Ovis aries: one gene and its partners. The protein of the gene in region 3 binds, or shares a complex with, the protein of the main gene of each other region. Links are inferred from orthologs where the notes say so. Each region holds a gene or a part of one and is shown on either strand. Other genes may lie near its edges.

Region 1 (4,248 bases), on a different chromosome or scaffold from region 3:
AACAGTTTTGCTACTCAGCTACTTGTCACCTTCCTCTAAGGATGTTTCCACACTTTCTATAAAGCTCCCTGGGGATACAGTCACAATTCCATTCCCTGGAGGCATTCTACTCTTATTGCAAACCCACCTGGGGTATTTCTATGGTTGTTGCACATCTTCCAATCCCTGGGTATATTTTTCACACTTGCCACAGAATCACCTAAGCTCTACACCCTGAGAGTATGTATACATTTGCAGACCCCACAGTGGGCTCCAGAAGGAAGTGGTGCCTGGGTGTTGGCCTCCCTGGTGGTAGATTTTCAGGGATTATGAAAGGCTGGGTCACCCTCAATCAGTGCCCGCCCAGCACAAGCCACATATCCCAGCCCATTTGTAGCCACAGGGAGTTAGTGACTCAGTTACCAAAAATTCAGAGAGTTTGACCCCTCCTGAAGGAAGGGAAAGACTGGGGCCTTGATGAGGCACACCCTGTTTCCAAGGACCTACTGCTTCATCGAGAAAATGGAAAGAAAGTGAACAGGTGTTTCAGAAACCATGGGGAGACGGGGGGAGTCAGACAGGAGTCAGATTTTGATCAAGTCACTGCCCCTCTCAGGGGGCCCTCTGTCCCTCTATAAAAGGGTCTGAGGTTCCTGGCACGGAGATTCATCCTGCATTTACCAGAGCATCCACTGTGTACCAGAGTCTGCTCCAGGCCTCTTCAAATTACAAACCGATTGAGGTAAGGAAGGCTTAGGGCTGGGAAAGCTCCCTGCCCGAGGTCACACAGCAAGTCAGTGACAGAGCCAGAAGTGACAGCCTCACCAGCCAGCCAGTGCCCGCCTCCTCTCATGACCACAGAGGGAGGCTCCCAGAATTTTTCTTTCCCAGCCCTGCCAACTTCCTGGTTCTCACATTCCCAGTTCTGCTCCTGGGAGAACCATTCCCTTTAATAACTGCAACAGCTGTGCCCGGAATAACACTTGATCCCCAAGCCACCTCTACCCCAGCCCATCTGTGAGCAGAGTCTAGGCTGAGATAGGACTCTTGGTCCAATCCATAGGCCCATCTATTTGGAAAGTCAGAGGCTCTCCTGCTCAGTGTCTGATGCTTCTCTGTGAGCAGAGAGGGGAGCACACGCTTTGTAATCATCAGCACTAGTCCAGGTCAATCATTTCTAGCTGGCAGCTCTGAGGGTGCAAGATGAAAGTGATAGTTGCTCAGTTGTGTCCAACTCTTTGTGATCCCATGGACTGTAGCCTGCCAGGCTCCTCTGTCCATGGAATTCTCCAGACAAGAATACTGGAGTGGGTTGTCATTTCCTTCTCCAATGGATCTTCCCGACCCCAGGGATCGAACTCTGGTCTCCTGCATTGCAGACAGATTCCTTACCATCTGAGCCACCAGGGTGGGAGGTGAAGGACAGCCAAACAGAGGGAACTCTCATCTCCACCCCATCCCAACACTGGCCCGGGAGACACTCTGATGCAGCCATTGACTCACCTTTCTGTGGCCAAAACAGCTGGGAGGCAGTGATTTTACTGGGTTCCAGAACTCTGAGGTACAGAATGAGGATGGGGGCCTCAAAAGGGGACCCAGTCTCCAGAGACCTCCTGGAAAAAGATCCAGGAGTGAGGAAACCTGGGAGCATTATCAAATTTGGATGGGGCTTAGCCCAAGTGGTTGGATGGCATCACCGACTCATAAGTTTGAGTTGGCGATGGACAGGGAGGCCTGGCGTGCTGCAGTCCATGGGGTTGCAGAGTCCCACACGACTGAGCGACTGAACTGAACTAACCCTAAGTAGAGTCTTAGGTGCAAGGAGGATGTGTAACTTGTTATTTGTAATAAGCTTCTACTAGGTATGTGCCAGTGGCTAATGCAGCCGCCACTCACGAGGGAGGCATGACTCTAACTAGCTGCACGACCTCGAGTAAGCCACCTCCCCTCTCAGGGCCTCGGTTTCTCCTTCCATGAAATGGGCTCTAAGACCCCTCGTTCGGGGGCTGGGAATGACGTCAGCTAAGGCGCTGCACACAGGTCAGGGATTAGGAGAATGTTATTATGTTAGTCCCAGGGGCGCAGAGCCTGGAGCCAGAGGAGATTGCACCACCACTTGGCGCTGCCCCAGCGATCTAGAGTTCAAGCTTCAGGGGCTCCTGAACTTCTGACAACCCCCTCCACCTATCTAGACCCAGTAGCGCCTTCGGAACCTCTCTCAAGTCTCTTCGAACCTCTCTCAGGTGTCAAGGACAAAGTAGATCAGAGGTTTGACCTCAGCTCCTGGGTTAGCCCAGGAAACAAGAGGGCCCTCTGGTCCCGCTGCCTTCAGCGTCCCTCACTCTTGGGCCCAGTTCCGACCCAGCGCCCAACGGGTCACCGGAGGACAAGCGACCCGAGTCGGGAGGGGGTGGGGGGGGCGGTGCCGGCCTTGGTGACGTCTCAAAGTCATATGCAAATAGAGAGACGTCACGGTCTACCAGGCGGGGGCAGCCAATCCGGAGCCCAGAATGCAGCCCCAGCAGCCGCCCGCTGAGACTGACAAAGACCCGGGAACTGGGGGCGCGGGGCGTGTCCCGAGGCTCCAGGAGCCCCCCAGGCCAAAGCCGGTGGGAACTCACCTGGGGACTGGGGGCAGTGCGGCGGGCCCAGGTGGCGCTGAGGTAGTTGTGAGGCGGAGCGTCCCGGGATCGGCGGCGGATCACAGGCCCGGCAGCATCGCGGGGGCTGGGTTGGGAGCGAGTCCGGCGCTCAGAGTGACTGCGCTCGCGCGCCGGGCTTTGAGTCTACAGCCGCGGCTGCTGGACTCACCGCACAAATTGGAACGTTCAAACAGCTGATTGTGACGTCACAAAGGGGCCCGCCCGCCTCGCGTCACCGCCCGGCCAAGCGGCGGCCAATCCCAGGCTGCGGATCCCCCCTCCCCGCCTCCTCCGCGGCTAGCCGGCTAGTGGCTCCCTCGCGGGGATCCCAGACTCCCAGGCTAGGGAAGAAGAGGCCTGGAGAAACAACTGCTGGAAGCTTGGACCGCCCTGCCTCTGGGCGACCCACGGACCTCTCTAAGAGGGGGGTTCCCACTCGTTCCTACGAGACCCCCATCTTTCTGCACACCCTCCGCATCTGTCAGCTCCCTCACCTCTCCCGCCGCCTCTCTTGTCCTTTCACCTGCATCTTACACTCAAGTCCCTCAGTCTGTACAGTTTTCTCAACTCCACACCACGTTCGTGCACCCCAGCCTCCCCACCACCCGTCTCCCGGCTCTGCCTTTTCTGTCTCCCTTTCTTAGCCGTACACGCTCGCTGCTTTCCCACTCCTTTTTTTTCCTCTGCTGGGCAAGCCTAACAGGTGGGAGACAACCCTCTTCCCTGGTTCCAGGGGATCGCAGGAAGTATAGACGAGTTAGTTAGGCTGACAGGAAAATTTTGCCAGTAGAACTTGGAGAGGAATTGCTTTGGGCTAAATAAACATTGACCTAGAGAGTACTCTGCACTGGAACGTTTACACATCTTGTGCGTGTGTGTGCTCAATCGTGTCCGACTCTTTTGTGACCCCCATGGGCTGTGGCCTGCCAGGCTCCTCTGTCCATGGGATTTCCCAGGCAAGAATACTGGAGTGGGTTGCCATTTCCTTCTCCAGGGGATCTTCCGGATGGAACTTGACTCTCCTGCACTGGCAGGCAGATTCTTTACCCCTGGCTACCTGGGAAGCCCTTACACACCTAATTTAATCCATATTGCTACTGGGGCTGGACAGAAAAATGAGAGACAGGGATTGATTGATTATTAGAGTGGGACCCAACTGGGTGACTAACCACCACCACCACCACACAGGGAAACAGATCTCATGGTTAGTATATAGATTCATACTCAGTAATGCATTCAACAGCAACTATTGCTGCTGCTAGACCATTAGCTGACATTTCTGAGCACTTACTGAGTGCCAGGCATTGTGCCATACTGCTGTATATGTGTTTTTATTCTTCACAACAACCGAAATGGTGTGTGTTATCCCCATTTTCAAGTTGAGGAATCAGGGTCACACAGTTATAGTAAATGGCAAAGCCAGGATTTGAACACATAGTTCCTGGCTCCAACACTCTCCGCTCTCTACAAGCACCAGATAATCAAAGCCCGAGGGTGCTTCAGCCTCCCCCAGGAAACCTGGGCTTCATCCTTTCCCCAAACTTGCTGTGTGACCTCAAGCAAGTCATGTCATCTCTCTGGGCCTCAATTTTCGTATCTATCGAAACATCCAAGTTACCTTTTAGAG
Region 2 (3,500 bases), on a different chromosome or scaffold from region 3:
AAATTATCATGAAATCAGTGTAGCATAGAGCTTGATGGTAACCCAAGCTTTAGTATCAGAGTCTTGTCCCCACTTACTGAGGTATGAGATCTCAGATGGCAACCTTCTGAGCCTCTTTAAATCTCTTTCGTCAAGTATAAAATGTGATAATGTGATACCTAATGGCTGTTGTGAAGCTTAAGTGAAATAGCAACAAAATATCTGGCAAATAAAAGGGTTGATGTTAGCTTTTGTTATAAAATGTGTTGTCTTCTCTCTTACCAGTTATTTAAAAAACCTCATCCACCCAAGCGAGTGAGGAGTCGACTCAATGGAGACAATGCGGGGGCCTCCGTCCCTCCAGGGTCTGCCAGTGACAAGATCTTTTTTCATCATCTAGACAACCTGAGGCCTTCGCTAACACCTGTAAAAGGTAAAATGACAGGGAATGGGCTTTTGATGGATGATTCTGTGGGACTCTTTAATAATCCTAGTTAAGCAATAACAAATTTGCTTCTCAGCAACAGTGTCATTTGTAGTAAGTGCTTAAACCATCAAATACAGAGTCTCCTTTTCCTTTTCTCTTCTCTTCTTTCTGCCTGTTGGATTTTGCATCCGAAAGAAACCCAACAGGTTTCTCCTCTCTGCTAGGGTACTGAAAACTAGGATACCAAATCTTATAATTCAACTTGTAGAAAAACTTCTGCCATCTTCATTTACACATGTTCTGCCAATTTAGAAATAGCAGTAAGAAGACTTGTATTTTTAACACGCCAGCTTTAAAAGCTTCTTTCATCTACTGTTATTGTAAGTTATTTTAAATTACTTTTCCAAGTAGATTTTTTTCCCCTTTGAATAAAAAAAAAAAAATTGTTTTGCAGAGTCTTAAAGTTGTCACTTAAATCCAAAAACTGGAGCATCAAACTCTGGATGGGTGCCCAGCTCTCTGCCGCCTGTCTCATTCCACAGACTCTGCCCTGTGCCAGCTCCAGCCACTGCCCAGAGATGGCTCTGGAGCACTGGCATGGTCAACAGAGTCCTGGGTCAGAGCTGGGGTTCTTGGCCTTCCTTCAGGAAGTCTAGGGCTGGGAGGGGCTGAAGGCCTAGGTCATTTGGAGGTCTGTGTGGCTTTCTGGGGAGCATCCCAGAACACTCTGGAAGTCCTCGGGATCAAAAGGTGGGCCTGGTGGCTGGGAGCCAAACCCAAGCAAGTGTCCATAGCCAGGCAGGCTAGAGACACCAGTCAAGGTCGATATCTGCCCAGTTGGTCTGCAGAAGACTCCATCGAAAGCCACACCCTACTTCCTTCTCAGGTCATTTTGTATTAATGTGGGTGTGAAGATACTTGATTTGTATGAATATTTGAAATCCCTTTACTCTCCCCTGTGGGATTCCCAGGTAGCCTTAGTGGTGAAGAATCTGTCCACCAAGGCAGGAGATGCAAGAGATGCCAGTTCAGTCCCTGGGTTGGAAAGATCCCCTGGAGGAGGAAATGGCTTCCCACTCCAATATTCTTGCCTGGAGAATCCCATGAACAGAGGAGCCTGGTGGGCTGTAGTTCCTGGGGTCACAAGAGTCAGACACAACTAACACTCTCTGCCCTCCTCTGTGGGATAAGGAGGTTAGTCTTCCCTGTACTGGTTCTAACATGTTGATTTATTTTTTGTAGAACTCAAAGAGCCTGTGGGACAAATCGTGTGTACAGACAAAGGCATTCTTGCGGTAGAACAGAATAAGGTTCTTATCCCGCCAACCTGGAACAAGACTTTCGCTTGGGGCTACGCAGACCTCAGCTGCAGGCTGGGGACCTATGAGTCAGACAAGGTTTGCAATGTTGCTTGCTCTCTTATGTCATCCTGCCTCATGGGGGTGGGGATAGCTCAAGCCAAGGGCTTCTCCGCTGCTCCTCCCCAGCCCAGAGGAAGGGAGAGCTTCACTGCATCCGATCAGGATAGAGGAGCTAGTGGACGAGTCCCATTTCCTGCAGAAAAGCCTCTCCTGGAAGGTTGTGTACCAGGACCTAGCAGTTTGCCTTCCACTCCAGGACCTCCTCCAGGGGGCCCTAGCCAACCAGGTGTTCAATATTTCTGCCAACCAGAAGAGCCTCCCTTTGAGTCACTGTCCCACTTACCATTTCGGTGGCAGAAAACCTGTCACCCTTCCCCTAAGAAGCAGTTGCGGCTACCATTTTGAGTCCCATTAGCATCTCTTGGAGAGGCAATACATAAGTGATGCTTTGGGGTCGTATTTGCCCCTTGACAGTCCTCTCCTGAATGCATGAGGGACACAGTCTGTGTCTGTAACACAGTTTTGTTTAGTCACATTGTCATGAAGAGCAGCACTCATGGGTTCCTTTTACATTCTGCCTGCTACAGCGGATGCATCCTTTCACCAGATCACCCCCTGCATCTCACACAGCATCACACAACCTGAACGTCATTTTCCATCGCACAATCTAAACATCTTTTTCCCTGACTGGAGAAACTGGAGACCCCCAATATGAACAAAGTGCTTCTTATGATTTTCAACAGCATCTATAGTTAGGAGGCTGTAGGGTGTAGTTCAGAGTAGAGCTTTAGGGAACCAGCCCAGCAGGTATTTGCCCAGAAGGGACCCAAAAAGAGGTTCTCTTTCATTTCGTATGCTCGTCGTGTCTCAGAAGCTTGTAGTGCTTGATGGCATGTGTGTCTCACATCTCTTCTATTTTACAGGCAGTGACTGTTTATGAATGTTTGTCGGAGTGGGGCCAGATTCTCTGTGCGATCTGCCCCAACCCCAAGCTGGTCATCACGGGTGGAACAAGCACGGTCGTGTGTGTTTGGGAGATGAGTGCCTCGAAAGAAAAGGCTAAGACTCTCACTCTCAAACAGGTAACAGAACGTGAGATGGTGGACCTATTCCAGCCCACCCGCTCGTGCTCTAGAGAAACTGAGTAACTTCCTTAATTCCAAGGCAATTTACACATTAATGGACAAGACCAAAAAAATGTATGTTCTTTTGCTAGAAATGGATCTTAAAAAAAGTAAATGAAAAATCAGAGGATACTATTTCTGAAGATGATCCAAGCTGTCCTTTTATAAAATCTGAAGCAAGATATCTTTAGGTGATGTAGTTTTTTAAAAAATATATTTAAGTAATGTCAATGTTTCTCAGAGTTATATGTAGGTTAAATTCTTGCAAACCAGTTATATTTGCAATTGATTCAGAATAACTTCTTTTCTGGATGCTTTTCATTCATCTATACCATTAAGTCGTTGATTTTTGGTTTTCTGTTTCTTCATTTATAATATTCTTAAGAACATGGCAAATTCATGAAATGTATTCAGAAAAACCATTGGTGATGTTATTAACAAGTATTTTTGATCACTTGTTATGAGGTGACTCTATCATAAATGTTTAATCAAAACAAGAATTCTTTTATCATGAAGCCATCACCTTTTTAATATTTGATTTATAAGTGAATTTACTGTAAGTTTCTTTTTAATGGAGTTTACATCTAGGTGTTTTCTGTTATAACACAT
Region 3 (3,900 bases):
TTCCGGCCAGTTAGAGAAAGGCTGCTGGGAGATGAAGTTCTCCTGGTGATAATGGCTCCCTCCTCCCAGTTTTCTCCCTCCCTTGGATTCCACTCCACTGGATCCCTCACGCCGGGCAAAGCGACATACATCTGACAACGGAGCCCTTTCACTAGCTCCCATACTCGAAAATCTCTTCCTTAATCCAGAAAGTTACGACACAGTTGGATGTTTTATCTGAAGAAGGTGCTTTCAAACTTTATCCACAGGAACCCACTGTAAAAAACTTTAATAACCTCAGGACCCAACCCATATACACGTATATAAAACTGAACTTTCATGAAATGATATTCAGTATTCCATCCCTCATAACAAAAGCACACTCTTAATATACACAAGGAAAAGCCGAACATAAGCAGAACAAACCAAAATATACTATTCCCTCTAACCTACTCTTTTCCCACCACTTGAAGAGAACAAAAGGGGGAGGGGAACAACACAAAGAAAAAATCCAGTTCAGCTTGGTGGTGGTTTCCTCTTTATTGATGTGCCTCCTACCTTCCCCCACAATTTCAGTCCCTTCCATCTACCCCCCAAAAAGAAGGTAGTGAAAAGAAAGGATTGTTGGGGCTCTGAGCCCCTTGGGCAGTTAGAAAGGGAACAGAAACCAAAACAATCACCAGATGTGACAGAGATTGACAATCAAGAAATCTAAAGCAGAATGGGAAAGGTGGTAAAGAAAGGGGAAGAAAGAAAGGAGAGGTATTAGAGGCCATCTCCCCCATTAACCCTTGTGTTAAGAGGGTCTGTAGGAGAGTCTCAAACATTAGGAAGTGCAGGTCCTGAAGAAGGGAGGTGGTGTTTGAACCTCAAGGAGGAGTAGGTCAAGGAAGGGGGGCCACCTCTCTCTTTGTAGAATGGGACCCCCCACCTTAGGGGCAGCAGCTTCACAGACCGTAGACACTTTCATCACTGTAGGCAATGTATAGAAAGAAGTCTTCTTCATGGTGTTCCTGGGATGAAGACAGAAAACAACAGCGTTCAGGCATCAGAGTTTTAGTTACTTGAACCACCCACCACTGGGACATATTCTTCCACAACCATTCTTTTTGAAGACCCCAAACACCAGTGCTTTGACTCTCCCTCTCACTTGCTCCAGACCATAAGTGCTGGGCAGTATTATCCTATCCACAGTCTTGGACAATAAGATCTCAAACTACTCTCTACTGCCTTGGAACACGGAATGGCTGGAGGGGAGTCTGGACCACAGCGGTTACTCTGGTTCACTGCCCTGTCCAAATCCCTAACCCAGAACGATGCGGAAATCTTAAGGGTGAATATAAAATTGAGAGCTAAGTAAGCCAGCTGGTCCAAGAACTGCTGACTTCAAACTTTCTGCCTCTCAAGCGCTTCCAACTCCTCCCCAAAGCCTCCTCTACTTCCCAGGCACCATACCTGGTACAGCTGACCCATCGTGGCACTGGTGGGCGGAATGACGTTGTTGACGAAGAAAAACAAGGCATCCTCTGCTCGGAGATGAATTCGCTTCCGGATTAAGAAGTAGAACTGGCCAACTGCCAAGATACAAGGCTTAATAAAAGTCAGAGATCACAAATACCCTCAAAAGAACACCTGCTATGTGGAGTCTCCTCCATCAGAGACTGTACTCCCACCCCCAGGAAACAAATCTGAGTACTGGGTCAGGTTCCCACCTGTAAGATCAGAAGGCACCAGGTATTTCTTTTTGTCCAGGTCTCCTATTCGAGCTTTAGGAGCCTTTTCTACTATCACCTGTTAAAAAGAAGATAAAAATTAGCAGACACTAGGTACACAGACGCACAGCTCCACCTGTCAAGAATTCAACATTCCTAGCACCCACACGTACCCCAGACTCATTTCTCTTTGTCTCTTAACACGCGGCGCAGCCCTGAATAGGAATTCTGACCCCATTGACTCTAATTCACCTAAACATCCAGGATCCCTGAATACGGCGTCATAAAAACAATTACGTTAATCAGACGAGGATGACTTATTCGGGCCAACCAGAGCTTCAATTTCAAAAACCTTATGGGAAGCTCAGACTGTCAAACGCCCCGCAGCCTCCCACGGGAACCCCAAGGTCTGTCTCTCGAGTCTACATCTTCTCACTTTCAGCTCTACTGGTACCCCATTCCTTTCACCTCCGGTCCCAGAAACAGCGGGTTGGGGCTCGTTCCCAACGCCGCCACAACCGGCAGCCTGATGCCTGCGCTGTGGGTCCCGGACTCAAGCCCAGGCTGTGGCGTCAGCGCCAGCGCCCCGCGCCCTCGGCCCTGGCTACTGTCCTCACCGGGACCCGGTCCGGGTATTTCTTTCGGATCTTTTCGCCCTCAGAGCGGCGCTTCTCGAACGGATGCTCCTCTTTATACACGAACTTCATCCTCCCGGGAACCGGGCTGGACCGGGCTGGGCTGAGGGAACCCGGGGGGGGCCGGGACGGGGGGCGGCGGCGACGGCAGCGACGCGCGGGCGGATTCAGCGGAGCGATCCCCGGACTTGCGCCACTTCCCTATTCACCAACCCCGCCCCCAGCCAACAGGGGCCTCCCAGGCTGCTATGTTACGCCACTGACGTAACTGCCCTAACGCCAGTAGCGTAGCACCACCTACTGACCTCCTCTCTCACGCCCTCAGCGTAATCGCTTTGGAATCAATTTGTAAATTACGCAGGCGGCGTAGAAAAGATGGTTGCCTTTTGCTATCGTCGGAAATAACTGAAAATCCATTTCCCGACTTTCCCCACAGGGAGGTAACGATGATAAGGGCTAAAAGATGGTAATCGTAATTTGAGACTTGGCTCTCCGAAAGCTCTTTTCGGAAGTAATGCAGAGGAAAGGCAGATAATTAAAGGATAGCTATTCACGAAATCTGTTGGTACGCTGAAGGCGGCCGTTGACACCAAAACAAAGTAGTACCCAAGTGGAGGAAGAGGTCGCTGGAAATAAGAGGGCAGAAACGAAACCTGTTTGGAGAGACGCACTGGACGCTTAAGTTCCAATAATGAGTGGACCAATAGGGACTGGAGAGGAGGTCTAAAAGGTAAGGACTACGTCAGCGCGGAAGAACACCGCTGCTGTGTCCGCGAAAATCATGTGATCTCAAAGGGCGGAGCGTCACGTGGCAGGCGCGAGGAAGTAGAGCCGGCTTGGGCTTTGGGAGGAGGGCCCCGGGGAGGTGGGGACGTGGGGCCGGGTCAGCCAGGGGGCTGGGGAGCCCGCCGCTCGAAGGAAGCGCCTGCCTAGCTAGTACATGCCAGTCTTCCAGACGAAGCCCAGCCTTTCTTGTCGTCGAGGTTTCTACTCCTTTAATACTTCGTCCTACTGCACTGAAGCTCAGGTTCTCTCAGGACACACAGCTGTCTCTTCACTCCCCACCAGGGTGCCCATCCTGTCACTAAGACCCTTCCTGCCAGGGAAAGCCAACACTATCCTTCCCCCTACACTTAGGGTCTACAGCAGGCTCTTCTCTCTCTGCCTAGTGAACAGGGTGGATATGAACAAAAACCCCTCCCTCGTTTCCCCAAACCCCAGAGAAGGACCTAGGGCAGCTTTGGTTTCAAAGTTATAATGCATGGTTTAAAAGAGAGGAAAGGAAAAAAGAGAAAGCTGGTTACAGATCTGAGGGAATCTAGGAGGAAGGGCAAATAGAGGGAAAGTAAAGGAGGGGACAAGTTTGGGGGAAGTCCAGTGGCCCAAAATCCCAGTTTCCCACCCACAGCCCAGCCCTTGGAGTGAAGAATTAGATCAGTTTTGTACAAGAGTTTTTAAAAAATCAAATCACAACAAAGCTGGCTTGGCTTCTCTTTTGAGCCTCCCGGATTACCGAATGTCTGTCTCACTCTGGCCAGTTGTGTCTCTCCACCAGACACTGTTGCGGCTCTCCT
Region 4 (4,194 bases), on a different chromosome or scaffold from region 3:
ATTCCTATCCAATCAGTTTTTTAGTGTAGAAATTAAAATTCAAGTTGAAACACTTGTGGCACAAGACAATGTAAGATTTAATCATAGAAGACTACTGATTACAATTAACTTATATTGTCAAACATAAACATACCAAACAAATCCACACTGGACTTTTAGAACAGTAAATTATTAAACAGGTTGATTTCTTTTAAAGATGTTTAAATTCTGTGATATTATATTAGTATTTCAAACAATACCCTTTCTAAGCCAAACTTGAAATTAATCAACTTTTTTTTTTTCCTTCCAGCAAAGAGAAAGGGTATCTCTTTAAGATACTTTCCAAAGCAGTAAAAATACCTTAGTGTTTCAATTTATCTGTAACACACTCTGCTGTGCATTTCACTGAGGGGCTACCTGAACCCACAAATCATCATCAGATAAAGAGCTTGAGCTCCCTGATTCAGAATCCAACTCACTGAACCCACCTAAATCCCACTCAGTGCTGGATTCACTAGGTACTTCTTCCTCCTCAGTGAGAAAACTCTGACCGGGTTCAAGACAGGAAGGATAAACGCGAGCTGAGAGGCAAAAAAAGTTAGAATCGAACTGGAACAGGCCTAATGTGGTACCTATATTAATCCACTGGTCACCCCTAACATCGTATTCATACACGGTCACCCGGTTCTTCTTCCACTGCGGGGTGCGGGAGGTGATCAGCAACAGTTTTTGGCCATGATTGATAATCCGGTAGTTGTTAGTCTCCGACACCAAGGGGATGTTATTAATCTGCCTCCACTCTCCTCTGACTGGATTGTACACCTTCATGACAGGGATGTCGCAGATGCAATAGATCTCATCGTTGAAGACACAGGCTTCCTGAAAATCATTGCGCTTCAGAGAAACACACTTCAGCCACATATTGTGGCTGGGATCAAAGCAGAACATGCGCTTACTGTTGAGAGCGTACAGATAGTTCTGAATGACCATCAGGTCAAAGGAAATAAAGGAATGGGGCAGCGGAGCCACCAGCGCCCACTGGTTTCTCTGGACACTGTAGCACTCCACCTCCTTCAGTTTAATGCCGGTAATGGGGTCCCGACCACCCAGGATGTAGATGTAGCCATTGAGGTATGCCACGTCCATGCCCTCCCGGCAGAGCAGGCGGTCAGCAAGCTGCTGCCAACTATTCTGGGCTGGTTTATACACCCAGAGATCCTTCCTGGGCTGGGCGGCCAGATAGATGTCATGGTCTGGAGAGACACAGACAGCTAAGGTGGTCACAGTCCTAGTGTGAGCAAGGCAGGTCAGAGGTGATGGCACTTTGTAAATGTCCCCCGAGTATGGGTCACAGCACAGAAAGGGATCTCTGGGATGGCCAAAGAAGATCACCATCTTCTTGGCATACACACCTAGCCTCTGAGGTGGATGATCAGCCATGGGCACAACGGAGCTGCTGCTTCCGCCGCCAAGAACAACGTTAACGACGCTGCTGCTGCCACCGCCACCACCACCTCCACCACCACCACCACCACAAGCAACGCAGCTAACAACGCCACTGCCACTGCTGCCACCACTGCTCTCTGGCTTGGGCACCAGAGACTTGCACAATGTGTCACCATACCGCATCTGCCGGGCCCCTTCAATGAGGTCCAGACAGTACTTCTTCACCACGGTGTTGGTCAGCAGCTCTTCCAGGTAGCCCCGATCTTCGTCAGTGAAGTGGGTCCAGCGGACACACTTGAAGACTTCTGCAGCGCTGGGACCCCGCTCCTTGGGAGCCGCCTCCAACCACTGCACCGCCACATGACACACGGTCTGCTCGTGCTCGATGTTGAGACTGTCCAGGCGCAGGACGGTCAGCAGCTGGGCCAGGGTCAGATCTGCCAGGGACTCTTCGCGAATTGGACTCATCTGGCTGAGATGCTTGAAGTTGTGGGCTATAAAGGACTGGGCCTGTGATCGCAGCTTGCGATGGCCGAAGGCATCAGCAAACTTGAAGATGGCTGTGCAGTTGGCCAGGTCAAGGCGGCGGGCTAGGAAGGAGGCACAGGCTTCCCGCACGTACTCCAGCTGCAGCATGTCGGAGGCTGCATAAAGGCGCTCCACGTTCGATTCACTCAGGGACACGCGACCGGTGTAGCAGTAATCGACCAGGACCTCGAAGGACTCGGCGTCCACGTCGTGCATGGTCACGTTCGTCTGATGGCTCTCGTACATGCCGCCGGTGAACATGCTCTTGAAGTAGGGACACGCGGCCGCCAGCACGTTTCGGTTGCAGGGGAAGAGGCGGCCCGTGCCGGGCCCGCTGCCGGGGGTGACCACCTCGATGGTCACATCGCAGAGAAGCCGCGCATCGTAGAAGGACTTGAGCTGGGCCAGCAGAGCTGCAGAATGGCCCGTGTCCTTCAGCTCCTCCGGGCCAGTGAAAAAAGCCGAAACCGTGGGTTTGTGAACCCTTTTGGGGCGCTTCCCGCCGCGGGGACTGGCGAGGCGGCGAGAGCGCGAAGCTTCTTCCCGGGACTGCATGATGGAGAGAGCGGCGGAGAGCGAAAGATGAGAACGGGTGCAAGGACCAGGTTCTGGCGCCTCCTCACCCTCTTCTCGCTGACGCTAAGACCGCGGTGTCTCCGGAGAGACTGCAGCACTGGTCCATTTATTTAAGTCAGCCCTCTGCCGCGGTGCCGCCTCCCTCGATCGCGTAGACCGCGTCCCACTCACCGGGTTCCAGTTCCACGCCCTTTCTCCGCCTCAGCTCGCCCTCAGAGGACCTACTGGCTGGAAGCGAGCGATCCGCCACCTCCGCGCCGGCACCACCACTAGGCATCCAGGAGAACTACGGCTCCCAGATTGCCTTTCGCGCCTCGAGGCATGCCGGGACCCCGCGGACTCTGCGGCACAGGCTGCGGCACCTGCTGCGGCACAGGTTGCGGCACGGAAACCGCTTTGCATATCGGGAGTAGTAGTAGCTTCAATAGCATCGCGAGATTTGTTGCCCGTTCATTGTTTCGGACGACGGAGTTCGAAATGGTTAATTCTATTCCGTTCGGCTTTATGGTTTCGAACTTTGGGTTTGGAATTCAGACTAAATGCCAGTTGTTGTATTTATCAGTTGTCTGGCTTCTGTCAGAGCTGCCGCTTGTTTTTTAAAAACGTTAATGGCAGTGGTACTTCATAGCATTGTATGACGATCGAACTAAATTGCGTAGATGATACACGCATAAATCGCGTAGGTGATATACGCATTAAATCGCGTAGGTTGGCTCTCCTTGCTTTAAATAAATATTTGTTGATTAGCAGAGTAATGTACTTATACGCAGTACCCATGATATAAAGGCTTAATGAGTTTTAGCTTTTCTTCTAGCGTTCATGAAGAATGAAGCACCCTCTCATTTGAGACCATGAGCCTGTGGGGAAATTTGAAAAACCCTACAGGTTTCTGCAGAGATACCTTTTAAGTTTTTTTGTTTTTGCATTTAACAAATAGATTTTTAAGACCAGTCTTAGGTTTACTAGAAAATCCAATAGAAAGCTGCAGAAAGCTCTCATATACTCCACCCCCTCTCAGTTTCACCTGTTTACAACATCTTGCATTAGTGTATGCCCTTGTTAAAAAGTTATGAACTTACAGTTATCTATCATTAATTAAAACATGTAGTTTATATTAGGATTTACTCTGTGTTGTACAGGCATGTCATGTATCTATATAACATGTATGTCGTGTACATGTATGTATGATGTACATGTATGTCATAAATGTATGTCATGTACCTATCATGACAATAATACACAGAACAGTTTCACAATCTTAAAAAATCCTCTGTTCAACCTATTTATGCCTCCCTCTCCTTGCCTCCCAGCCCTTCAGAACCATTAATTTTCTTATTGTCTGGTTCTACCTTTTCCAGAATATCATGCAGTTGGAATATACATTCTTTCACTTGGCAATATTCAATTCAGATTAATAAAGCTTTCTATTGAATTTTCTAATAAACTTTAAAATCTGATTTTAAAATCTATTTATTAAAAAAAAAAAACCCAAAGCTTAAACCTGCAGGGTTTTTCAAATGTCTTTTCATGGCTTGATAGTTATTTCTTTTCATTGAATAATATTTCATTGTATACCAGTTTACTTATCCATTCACCTACTAAATGGCATTTTGTGTGCTTTGAATTTTTTCAGTTGTGAATAAAACTGCTATAAACACTCGTGCT
Region 5 (4,074 bases), on a different chromosome or scaffold from region 3:
TCACATAACCACTACACAATACTACAGTCTAACATTGCAGTTGAAAAATAGGCTGCCTAGATTCAAACCTCAGCTCTGCCATTTACTATATATGATCTTGAGCTGGTGACTTCATCTCTTTGCACCTCAGTATCTTCATCTATAAAATGAGATCTCATTCTCTTCTTCAAACTATCTTTCCTAGTACAGTCTATGTGCCAAGCAGCATACTAGATGCAGAAAGTACATTGACAAACAGGACAAAAATTCGGCCCTTGTGAAGCTAAGTTCTAATGGGGTTATCTACCTGCCTTTCTAGGCTGCTGGATGCAATTGAGTTACTTCCCACAAAAATACTTGAAAATAGTACCTGGAACATATTAAGTACAAGCCAAAGCAGGTGCTGTTAAGACCCCGTAATGACAAACCAGGAATTTCTTAAAAGAAAGGGGGGGGGCACCATTTTGGAGTCTGCCCGCCCTTGTCCCCTTTTCTCCTGGGTTGACCCTGAGCACCTGAGGTCCCCTAGGGAGCCGCCTCTTCCCTCCATGTCTCACCTGCCAAAGATCCAAGCCTAGAACAGCAAAGTTTTCATAGGCGTAGATGTTGCTATCAGGGGAATACTCAGGGTTGTCAATCTCTGGATGGATCCAAACGCCCTTGTACTCTGGGTTGTCGATCTGCCTGGGCTTCCACTCCCCCTGCAGAAGTAAACTGACGGGTGAGCGAAGATCACTGCCTTCCCCATTGTGCACCACCCTCCTCAGAGTGCCAGACTCACCTTGTACTCTGGGTTCTGAATAACAGGTGGTTCCCACTCTCCGTCCATCTCTTCATCCCAGTCCTCAGGTTTCTTAGCATCAGGGTCAGGAATGTGCTCAGGCTTGTCCCAATCCTGAGGATACATTAGGAGGTCAGAATAGGAGCAGCTGTCCTCCACACGCTCCATGGTGGGGAGCCCCTGCCCAAGCACCAACCTCAGGCTTGGAGTCTGTGGGGTCATCGATCTTGGCACGATCATCCCAGTCTTCAGGCTTAGCGGCATCAGGATCCTTTATCTTCTTGGGGGGCAAGAAATCCCAGTCGTCCTCCAAGGAGCCTGACTCCACCTGGCTGTTATCAATCTTCACCTCATACGTATTATCAGGCCGCACAATCAGCGTGTACAGGTGGGTGAATTCATCGTCCTAAAGAGAATGAAAGATGAGTGGCCCCGCCCACCAGCCTGGGCTCAAAGCCTCCCCTCACAGCCATTTGTGACCACCCCCAAGGCACACCTTGCAGCGAATATCCTTGTTGATCAGCACATTCTTGCCCTTGTAGTTGAAGATGACATGAACCTTCTTGGTGCCGGGTCCACAGATGTCTGGGCCTTGGTGAGAAGCAGATCTTGGTCAGAACTACAGTCTGTCCACCATTACAAGCCCCTGCCCACCCCATTACAAAAAGACAACTTGGTTCTTAAACTCAGGACTGTCAAGCTGAAAAAACAAAATTCAGACCTTCTCTCTAAGGAACTGGGGGAGGACACTTAAAAAAAAACAAACCACACATCAGTACTCCAGAACTCACAATCTTCACTTGCACAACTAGGAACAAGGAAATGCCTATATAGTAAAACTGCACGAATTAGTGTGAAGTCGATGATAAAAATGCAGTAAGTGGTTCCTAACTATTCCCTCACCTTCCCTATGAAAGAAATGCCTAAAGCATGTAAGTGTTTTCTATGCTCTCAAGACCACCGTTCATGGGCGATAAAGAACTCCCCGGGTTTCAAACTCCCTCTAAGTGACCAGAAATCAGCACCAGGGTGGAGTCCCCTTACCAAACATGATGTTGTATTCGGAGTCCCCGTGCATGTCTGTCTGATCCAAACCAGCTGGAAACAGCTTCACATAGCCGCCCCCACAGTCGATGTTCTGCTCGTGTTTCACCGTGAACTGCACCACCAGCGTCTGACCCTTGTTGCTGAAAGGCTCAAATCTCGCCGACAGTGCGTAGAACCGGGCATCCTGGCTAGTCTGCAGGCCTACCGAGAGACTATAATCAGATCAGGGCTCAGCACCAACCCCCCGGGGAACCCTAAGGATGTAAAATACACACCAGTCCTCCTTCCTTCACCTCCCCTACTTCTAGGGATACCCAAACTCTGTCCTCCTGGATCTGAATACCCACTCCTAAGTTCTTACCTTTATCTTTCTCCTGGTCACCATAGAACTTGCCGGAACTGAGAACGAATTTGCCAAAATCCGGTTTGTGTTTGGATTCGATCCAGCGCTCGGTCCACCCGTCTAGAGGATCAAAGAGGCAGGTAAGCGCGGCGGTGCTGATCAACTCCCCACCAAACATCTACCAGGAGCCACAAACTGCTGGGAGCAAGGAAGGAGATTCCCCCCTCCCCCCAGACCGTCCCCACCCCAACCTCTAGTTTGACATCTCTGGTGACTTAAAAGATCCTCGGGCAAACCCTAACTCCCGCTTCGGAAAGCCGCTGCTCCCTCCACGCTCCCCAGGGACGCCGAAGGAAGGCTCGCCTTCGGCTCCAGTCCCTGAAGGAAACCGTGTTGGCCCTCTGAGCAGTAATTACAAGCGACACGCAGATATGGGCCGGAGGGCCAGCCGCGTCGTTAGGACGATCTCGAGCGGGACTAGCCGTTACCTCCGTCCAGAAACTGCTCCTTGAAGTAAACGGTGGGATCAGCGGCGGCCAGGCCGAGAAGGCCGAGCAGCAGCGGCACGGGTAGCAGCATGGCGGGCCGAGGGGGCGGTGGCGCGCGGGCCCTTTAAGTCACTCGTCCGGCAGCAGCTCTGCAGTGGGGACGGACGCCGCCGCCGGCCGTGCCCTTTTATACCCCGCCTGCTCTCAAACCAGCCTGGTCCGGCCTCTTGGTCCGCCTTCCTCACTTTATCATTGGTCTGTGGCCATAGCCCTGCCTTTCCATTGGACCCTTCTAGGCTCAGCATGTTAGGCTGTGCCTCGGAACGCTGGGTTCCCAGATGGCCGATTTCTATTGGCCGCACCACTGGCCAATGAAGGTCGACCACGCGTTGTGGGGGACGCCCACCGGTGAAGTCGGGGGGGCCTCGAGCCCCTCAGTCCAGGTCATGTGACCAGACCTCGGCCCAGCCCCGCCCTCCCTTGCGCGCGGCGTTCGGGATCTAGGCGTTTAAAGAACACGCGCGAGCTGTGGTGCTGCGTGAAGCTAGGGTCCGGCTCCATTCTAGACTCCACTCAAGGGTTGAGTGGGCAAGGTTTTCCTAGCGTCTTTCTACTCTGAGTTTGGGGAACCCCACCATTCCCACCTTGTCTTTCTCTTCCTTCCCACTCCTCTTCCCGTCCTCCACCCGCCTCCCTGCCCCCCCCCCCCCCCCCCCCCCCCGCCTTCCTCCCCAACCCCGCCTTCTCCCTCCCACACCTCCCTCCCCCGGGATGGGGCAGAGGGCACCGAGCCCTGGGGCTTCACTTCCTCCCAGCGCCGGAGCCCTGCAGGCCTGGGGGAAGAGTGCCTGTTCTCAGTACGGTCCCCGTAGTGACCTGGCAGCCTGTCAGACTGCTTCTGTGTGAGCTGGGGCAAGTCATTCAGCCTCTTTGAAATCACAGGATCTCTTGAAAGGCCAGGAGGAGCGACCCCGGCCAGCTGCTGTCCGGCGGAAATGCTTTTCAAGCTTTTAGGGATTTTCTGGGACAGAGGGAAGGACCCTGACGGCTCAAAAGATGTGACGACAGGTTGTGTTCCTCTCTTTGCAGCCTGTCCTTTACCTCCCTCCCATCCCCGCCCCCCAGCCGGTAAATGAAAGGGGTCGCCGCCTTGTGGTCTCCCGCAAACGGCCTGGTTTTGCAATTAAACGGCTGAATATGAGCGGGCAGGGGGTTCCGTTGGGGAGGAGAAAAAAAAAGAGGCAGATGGTGAGGAAGATAAGGTCCAAGAGAGGTGGGCAGGACCCCTGAGACTAGAGCCTTCTGAGGCCACAGGCACATGACTGGCAGTGACTGACACCAGCCCCATACCCCTAGGCTGCAGGAAGGAGGAAGGAGAACGGGGACTTTCCCAAACTGAGCAAATAGGCTCTGGACTTGGGAAGTAGGAATAAACT
Region 6 (3,500 bases), on a different chromosome or scaffold from region 3:
TTGAGCATCTACAGCCACTACTGGGATATAATCATGTTCTGAAAGCTGACTGGGTGTCCAACAGCAGCGAAGCTCGTCATTAGGATAGACATGTTGGCACCAATAATACCGAAGTTTGGTTTTTAACTACATTTTTTGTCAGTTTGGCTGGGGAGATCTGGACAGCTGGAAGTGAGCTTCTCCATCATTTTCTGTTTCCTTCTTTGTATCAATTTTCCACCTGTGAAGCCCAACACCCCACCACCAAGTGCAGCTGCAATTCCTGCCACTTTGAAGCCTGCAAGGAGGCCAATCGGACCCCCTACCACTCCTCCGATGAGTGCACCTGCCACAGGCAGAGCTGCCAGCTTGTATTTTGCAGCCTGTAAAAAAAAAAAAAAATTCAATTTAGAAATTGAGTTGAGAATATCTCCCTGTGGTGATATGCATTTTCCTCTCATTACTCCTGGCAATGCCTCTTTAACTCGTGGTACATAATTAACCTTAGAGATTGTTCTGGGGTTGGGGGAGGGGAGAAAGTATTCCACAGGTACTCTAATTGCTCCAGATCTCAGAACTTAGAGAAATGAGCTACAAAGAGTGGACTGCTACAGATTGATTTTACTTGCAAAACAGTCAATTCACTAACTATCTAGCTAGCTTATTTAAACAGTTTCAGTAGCCACAGATACTCCCAAAGCTTTTATGTTGCACACAGATTACTCCATGCTATGTACCTGGGGTTAAAAGCCACGTTCTATGGGAAATAGATGGACCCACACATGTGTGCTGTCACGTCCCTAAACTTTGGCCCCTACTGGATTCTGACAACCCTCTCTACTCCTCTCCTGGACCCCTGAAAATATTATTTTGTAACACCAAGTGCCATATAGCAGGGCTCCAGTTTACTCTCTCTCTGAAAAAATGTCTCTCCCAACAGAAGGAATCTTAGAGTAGAATATTACAACAACCATTGATTTCCTGCACTACCTATGTGTCATTTCTTCCTTATTTTCTTAATTGCTGGTTCCCTCAACATTAAAGAGAACAGATCAATTGGGTTAATACTAGGGATTCCTGAGAGCCAGAGTACCATTGATTTGTCAGCAGGAGCAGAATCTTACCTTCCCCAAGTTTTTGGTTCCCTCTTCAACATTCACAGCAGCACTGTTGACATGGTCTTCAATGCTGTCAATCTTCTCCTGCTGAGACTAGATGCAAAGGAATTATGAGTGAACGTTCCTGCTGGGGAGCAGCAGTCAGCCAATACACACTACTTTAATTCCTGTAATCAGAGCCCTGGGTACTGCAGCCTTGCAGTCTTAATAGCGGTTCATTAATAGCATCTGATAAACCATGTTGAAAGTACAAATTCACTTGTATGAAAAAAAGAGGGTGACTTAATTATTAGACAAGAAAAGGGTGGCACCTTTATAGGACAAAGCATCTCACACTAAAATGCATTCTAACATGCAAACATATTATTCTCCAAATGAATCTACTTTCCAGGAGGAAAAACATCCAAATAAGCATTTACGTGTCATGTGAGGTTTGATGGAAAAAAAAAAATCAAACCAAAAGCCTTTCTAACTTATCTTCTTTGAAGATTCAGTTTAAAACAGACAAATCTGTCTCAGGAGTTAAATGCCCTTGATCCAATAAACACAAGTTATTATGTTTTAGGAGTAAAAATATAATATGGTTTGACCTGCCATAAAATTGTTCCATTTGTGATATGCACAAGGGAGCAGTGAACGAACTTACTGTCCCATGTTTTACACCTGTACACTTCAGTACATTTAAAAATCATGACAAATTAAAATGTTTCAGATCAAACATATTAATAAAGCCTTCTACATAAAATGGCAAAATCTGTGCTGACACAACAGAAACACGGAATCTCTGGGTGGAAGTGCAACTTTCCCCTCAGCTATGTGAAACCCCACTATACCACTTCTGATAAGTGGCCACTGAATCTCAGCTCAAACATCTCCAGTGACAAGAACTCACTACCTGACAGAGGAACATATTCCCATTTTTAGAAAACTATATTTATATGGAATTTACATATAATATACAACCAATTCTTAGGGCATATCCTTTGATTAGTTCTCGCACATGTATAAACCCATGTAAGCATCAACCCATGTTGATGTAAACATCAACATATAGACTATTTACTTTTGAGGGGTTTTTTTAATTCACAGATAATAGAAGAGAATCCCTCTTCAACCCCAACTAAATGCCAAACTAGACTCCATTCAGAGCTCAATCTGGACCCTATTTGTCCACTGTGATCTTGGCTCTTTATGCTGGGCCAAACTATACATACACAACTTTATTCTACTACAGGACACCAAGCCCCGAACAACAAAGCCTCCTCACCCCTATCTACCAACCTTCCCTTTTTCTTCTGATTTACTTATGTTTGCTTTCATTGACCTAGGCCTCGCAAATCTGACAACCATCAACTTAACACTGGCACCTCATATTGTTCTCAGCATCCCTTTAACAATTATTTAAACTATTTATGAGGCTCACTGTAGTTTTCTCAAACTAGAGTAATGAATAGACTTTCCTTTTTAAAGGAAAACAATTCTCCAAAGAATCTAAGAATATGTTTATGGATTTAACAATGACTTAGGTTTCCTTACCTGCCTGAAAAAAATAACAGAATCTTAATAAGCAGTTATAAGACCACCTAAGATTCTGGGGGGAAATGTGATTTATTAAGTTAATATTTGTCAAGCAGAATGCAATTTGGGCATTTGAAGTCAAAACTATGAAGAACTGTTTTCCCCTTGTTGGTAGTTGTACAGTTTTATTAATGTGCCTGGAAAGTACAGGTTTAAGAAACTAATGCCAAAATTCCAGATATGTTCCTTTATTCTTCTCTCTCTAAATTCCAGCCAGCCTTCAACGCCAGCTTTAGTCTTAGATCCCAACCAACTAAGCTATCTTCGTTCTGAGCTCCAAAGATAGATAATATGAATATACTAAACTTAATTATATGCACTCATATACACAGAAAAGCCCAGAAACAAGCACATAAACACTATGATACACAGGCAGAGTCTACTGGCCTAGAGTAGGCAATAAGCAGGGTGGGTAAGTATGGTGTTGACATTAAGGGATTCCAGTAATAGGAAAGCGACTATAGGAACTACAGTACTAAAATGTCTAAAGGTATTGGTGGTGGCAAAAGTGGAATTCTAAGCAAAGAGTGAATCAAACAGGGAGGGACAAAGGCAAGAATGCAGTGGGTCGGGGTGGGGAATGGTGTGTGTGTGTCAGTCGCTGAGTTGTGTCCTACTCTTTGCGACCCATGAACTATAGCCTGCCAGGTTCCTCTGTCCATGGAATTCTCCAGGCAAGAACACTGGAGTGGATTGGCATTTCCTACTCCAAGGGTAGGGAAGGGAGTGAGAAATAAGACAATATCTCATGGAGTCCTCCCATCAATTTACAAAGCTAAGTGTTGTTAACATTCTGAAGGTCACATAAATAATAAATGGAAGAAT

The links.
Region 1: the proteins of GABARAP (region 3) and TP53INP2 are in contact, whole or in part, in a crystal structure (PDB 8T31), measured with the Homo sapiens proteins. The link is inferred for Ovis aries from reciprocal best matches to the Homo sapiens genes GABARAP and TP53INP2. Residues at the interface, in NP_009209.1 of Homo sapiens: Tyr5, Glu17, Ile21, Tyr25, Arg28, Pro30, Val31, Ile32, Lys46, Lys48, Tyr49, Leu50, Val51, Pro52, Asp54, Leu55, Gln59, Leu63, Arg67, Phe104; in NP_001316358.1 of Homo sapiens: Glu31, Val32, Asp33, Gly34, Trp35, Leu36, Ile37, Ile38, Asp39, Leu40, Pro41.
Region 2: the proteins of GABARAP (region 3) and WDFY3 are in contact, whole or in part, in a crystal structure (PDB 3WIM), measured with the Homo sapiens proteins. The link is inferred for Ovis aries from reciprocal best matches to the Homo sapiens genes GABARAP and WDFY3. Residues at the interface, in NP_009209.1 of Homo sapiens: Glu17, Ile21, Lys24, Tyr25, Arg28, Pro30, Lys46, Lys48, Tyr49, Leu50, Val51, Pro52, Asp54, Leu55, Leu63, Lys66, Arg67, Phe104; in NP_055806.2 of Homo sapiens: Glu3342, Lys3343, Asp3344, Gly3345, Phe3346, Ile3347, Phe3348, Val3349, Asn3350, Tyr3351, Ser3352.
Region 4: the proteins of GABARAP (region 3) and KBTBD6 are in contact, whole or in part, in a crystal structure (PDB 4XC2), measured with the Homo sapiens proteins. The link is inferred for Ovis aries from reciprocal best matches to the Homo sapiens genes GABARAP and KBTBD6. Residues at the interface, in NP_009209.1 of Homo sapiens: Tyr5, Glu8, His9, Glu17, Ile21, Tyr25, Arg28, Pro30, Val31, Ile32, Leu44, Asp45, Lys46, Lys47, Lys48, Tyr49, Leu50, Val51, Pro52, Leu55, Leu63, Arg67, Phe104; in NP_690867.3 of Homo sapiens: Ser663, Asp664, Asp665, Asp666, Phe667, Trp668, Val669, Arg670, Val671, Ala672, Pro673.
Region 5: the proteins of GABARAP (region 3) and CALR are in contact, whole or in part, in a crystal structure (PDB 3DOW), measured with the Homo sapiens proteins. The link is inferred for Ovis aries from reciprocal best matches to the Homo sapiens genes GABARAP and CALR. Residues at the interface, in NP_009209.1 of Homo sapiens: Glu17, Ile21, Tyr25, Arg28, Pro30, Val31, Ile32, Lys48, Tyr49, Leu50, Val51, Pro52, Leu55, Phe60, Leu63, Ile64, Arg67, Phe104; in NP_004334.1 of Homo sapiens: Asp199, Trp200, Asp201, Phe202, Leu203, Pro204, Pro205.
Region 6: the proteins of GABARAP (region 3) and STX17 are in contact, whole or in part, in a crystal structure (PDB 7BV4), measured with the Homo sapiens proteins. The link is inferred for Ovis aries from reciprocal best matches to the Homo sapiens genes GABARAP and STX17. Residues at the interface, in NP_009209.1 of Homo sapiens: Tyr5, His9, Lys13, Glu17, Lys20, Ile21, Arg28, Pro30, Lys46, Lys47, Lys48, Tyr49, Leu50, Pro52, Leu55, Gln59, Phe60, Phe62, Leu63, Lys66, Arg67, Phe104; in NP_060389.2 of Homo sapiens: Ala169, Glu170, Ser171, Trp172, Glu173, Thr174, Leu175, Glu176, Asp178, Leu179, Glu181, Leu182.

What each region holds. Positions count from the first base shown.
Region 1 is NC_056066.1:64,038,365-64,042,612, reverse strand, and holds the start of TP53INP2 (tumor protein p53-inducible nuclear protein 2), read right to left. Parts: upstream 2,801-4,248; 5' UTR 2,601-2,800; intron 1,593-2,600; 5' UTR 1,483-1,592; intron 1-1,482. UniProt on the Homo sapiens protein: Dual regulator of transcription and autophagy. Positively regulates autophagy and is required for autophagosome formation and processing.
Region 2 is NC_056059.1:100,207,953-100,211,452, reverse strand, and holds part of WDFY3 (WD repeat and FYVE domain-containing protein 3), read left to right. Parts: intron 1-264; coding exon 265-412; intron 413-1,648; coding exon 1,649-1,803; intron 1,804-2,690; coding exon 2,691-2,849; intron 2,850-3,500. UniProt on the Homo sapiens protein: Required for selective macroautophagy (aggrephagy). Acts as an adapter protein by linking specific proteins destined for degradation to the core autophagic machinery members, such as the ATG5-ATG12-ATG16L E3-like ligase, SQSTM1 and LC3.
Region 3 is NC_056064.1:26,843,818-26,847,717, forward strand, and holds GABARAP (gamma-aminobutyric acid receptor-associated protein), read right to left. Parts: upstream 2,530-3,900; 5' UTR 2,399-2,529; coding exon 2,309-2,398; intron 1,771-2,308; coding exon 1,692-1,770; intron 1,554-1,691; coding exon 1,435-1,553; intron 993-1,434; coding exon 927-992; 3' UTR 501-926; downstream 1-500. UniProt on the Homo sapiens protein: Ubiquitin-like modifier that plays a role in intracellular transport of GABA(A) receptors and its interaction with the cytoskeleton.
Region 4 is NC_056063.1:11,708,823-11,713,016, forward strand, and holds the start of KBTBD6 (kelch repeat and BTB domain-containing protein 6), read right to left. Parts: upstream 2,801-4,194; 5' UTR 2,509-2,800; coding exon 382-2,508; 3' UTR 1-381. UniProt on the Homo sapiens protein: As part of the CUL3(KBTBD6/7) E3 ubiquitin ligase complex functions as a substrate adapter for the RAC1 guanine exchange factor (GEF) TIAM1, mediating its 'Lys-48' ubiquitination and proteasomal degradation.
Region 5 is NC_056058.1:10,923,591-10,927,664, forward strand, and holds the start of CALR (calreticulin), read right to left. Parts: upstream 2,801-4,074; 5' UTR 2,730-2,800; coding exon 2,639-2,729; intron 2,271-2,638; coding exon 2,169-2,270; intron 2,009-2,168; coding exon 1,805-2,008; intron 1,352-1,804; coding exon 1,257-1,351; intron 1,167-1,256; coding exon 957-1,166; intron 875-956; coding exon 761-874; intron 681-760; coding exon 537-680; intron 1-536. UniProt on the Homo sapiens protein: Calcium-binding chaperone that promotes folding, oligomeric assembly and quality control in the endoplasmic reticulum (ER) via the calreticulin/calnexin cycle.
Region 6 is NC_056055.1:47,866,964-47,870,463, forward strand, and holds part of STX17 (syntaxin-17), read right to left. Parts: intron 1,191-3,500; coding exon 1,104-1,190; intron 363-1,103; coding exon 123-362; 3' UTR 1-122. UniProt on the Homo sapiens protein: SNAREs, soluble N-ethylmaleimide-sensitive factor-attachment protein receptors, are essential proteins for fusion of cellular membranes.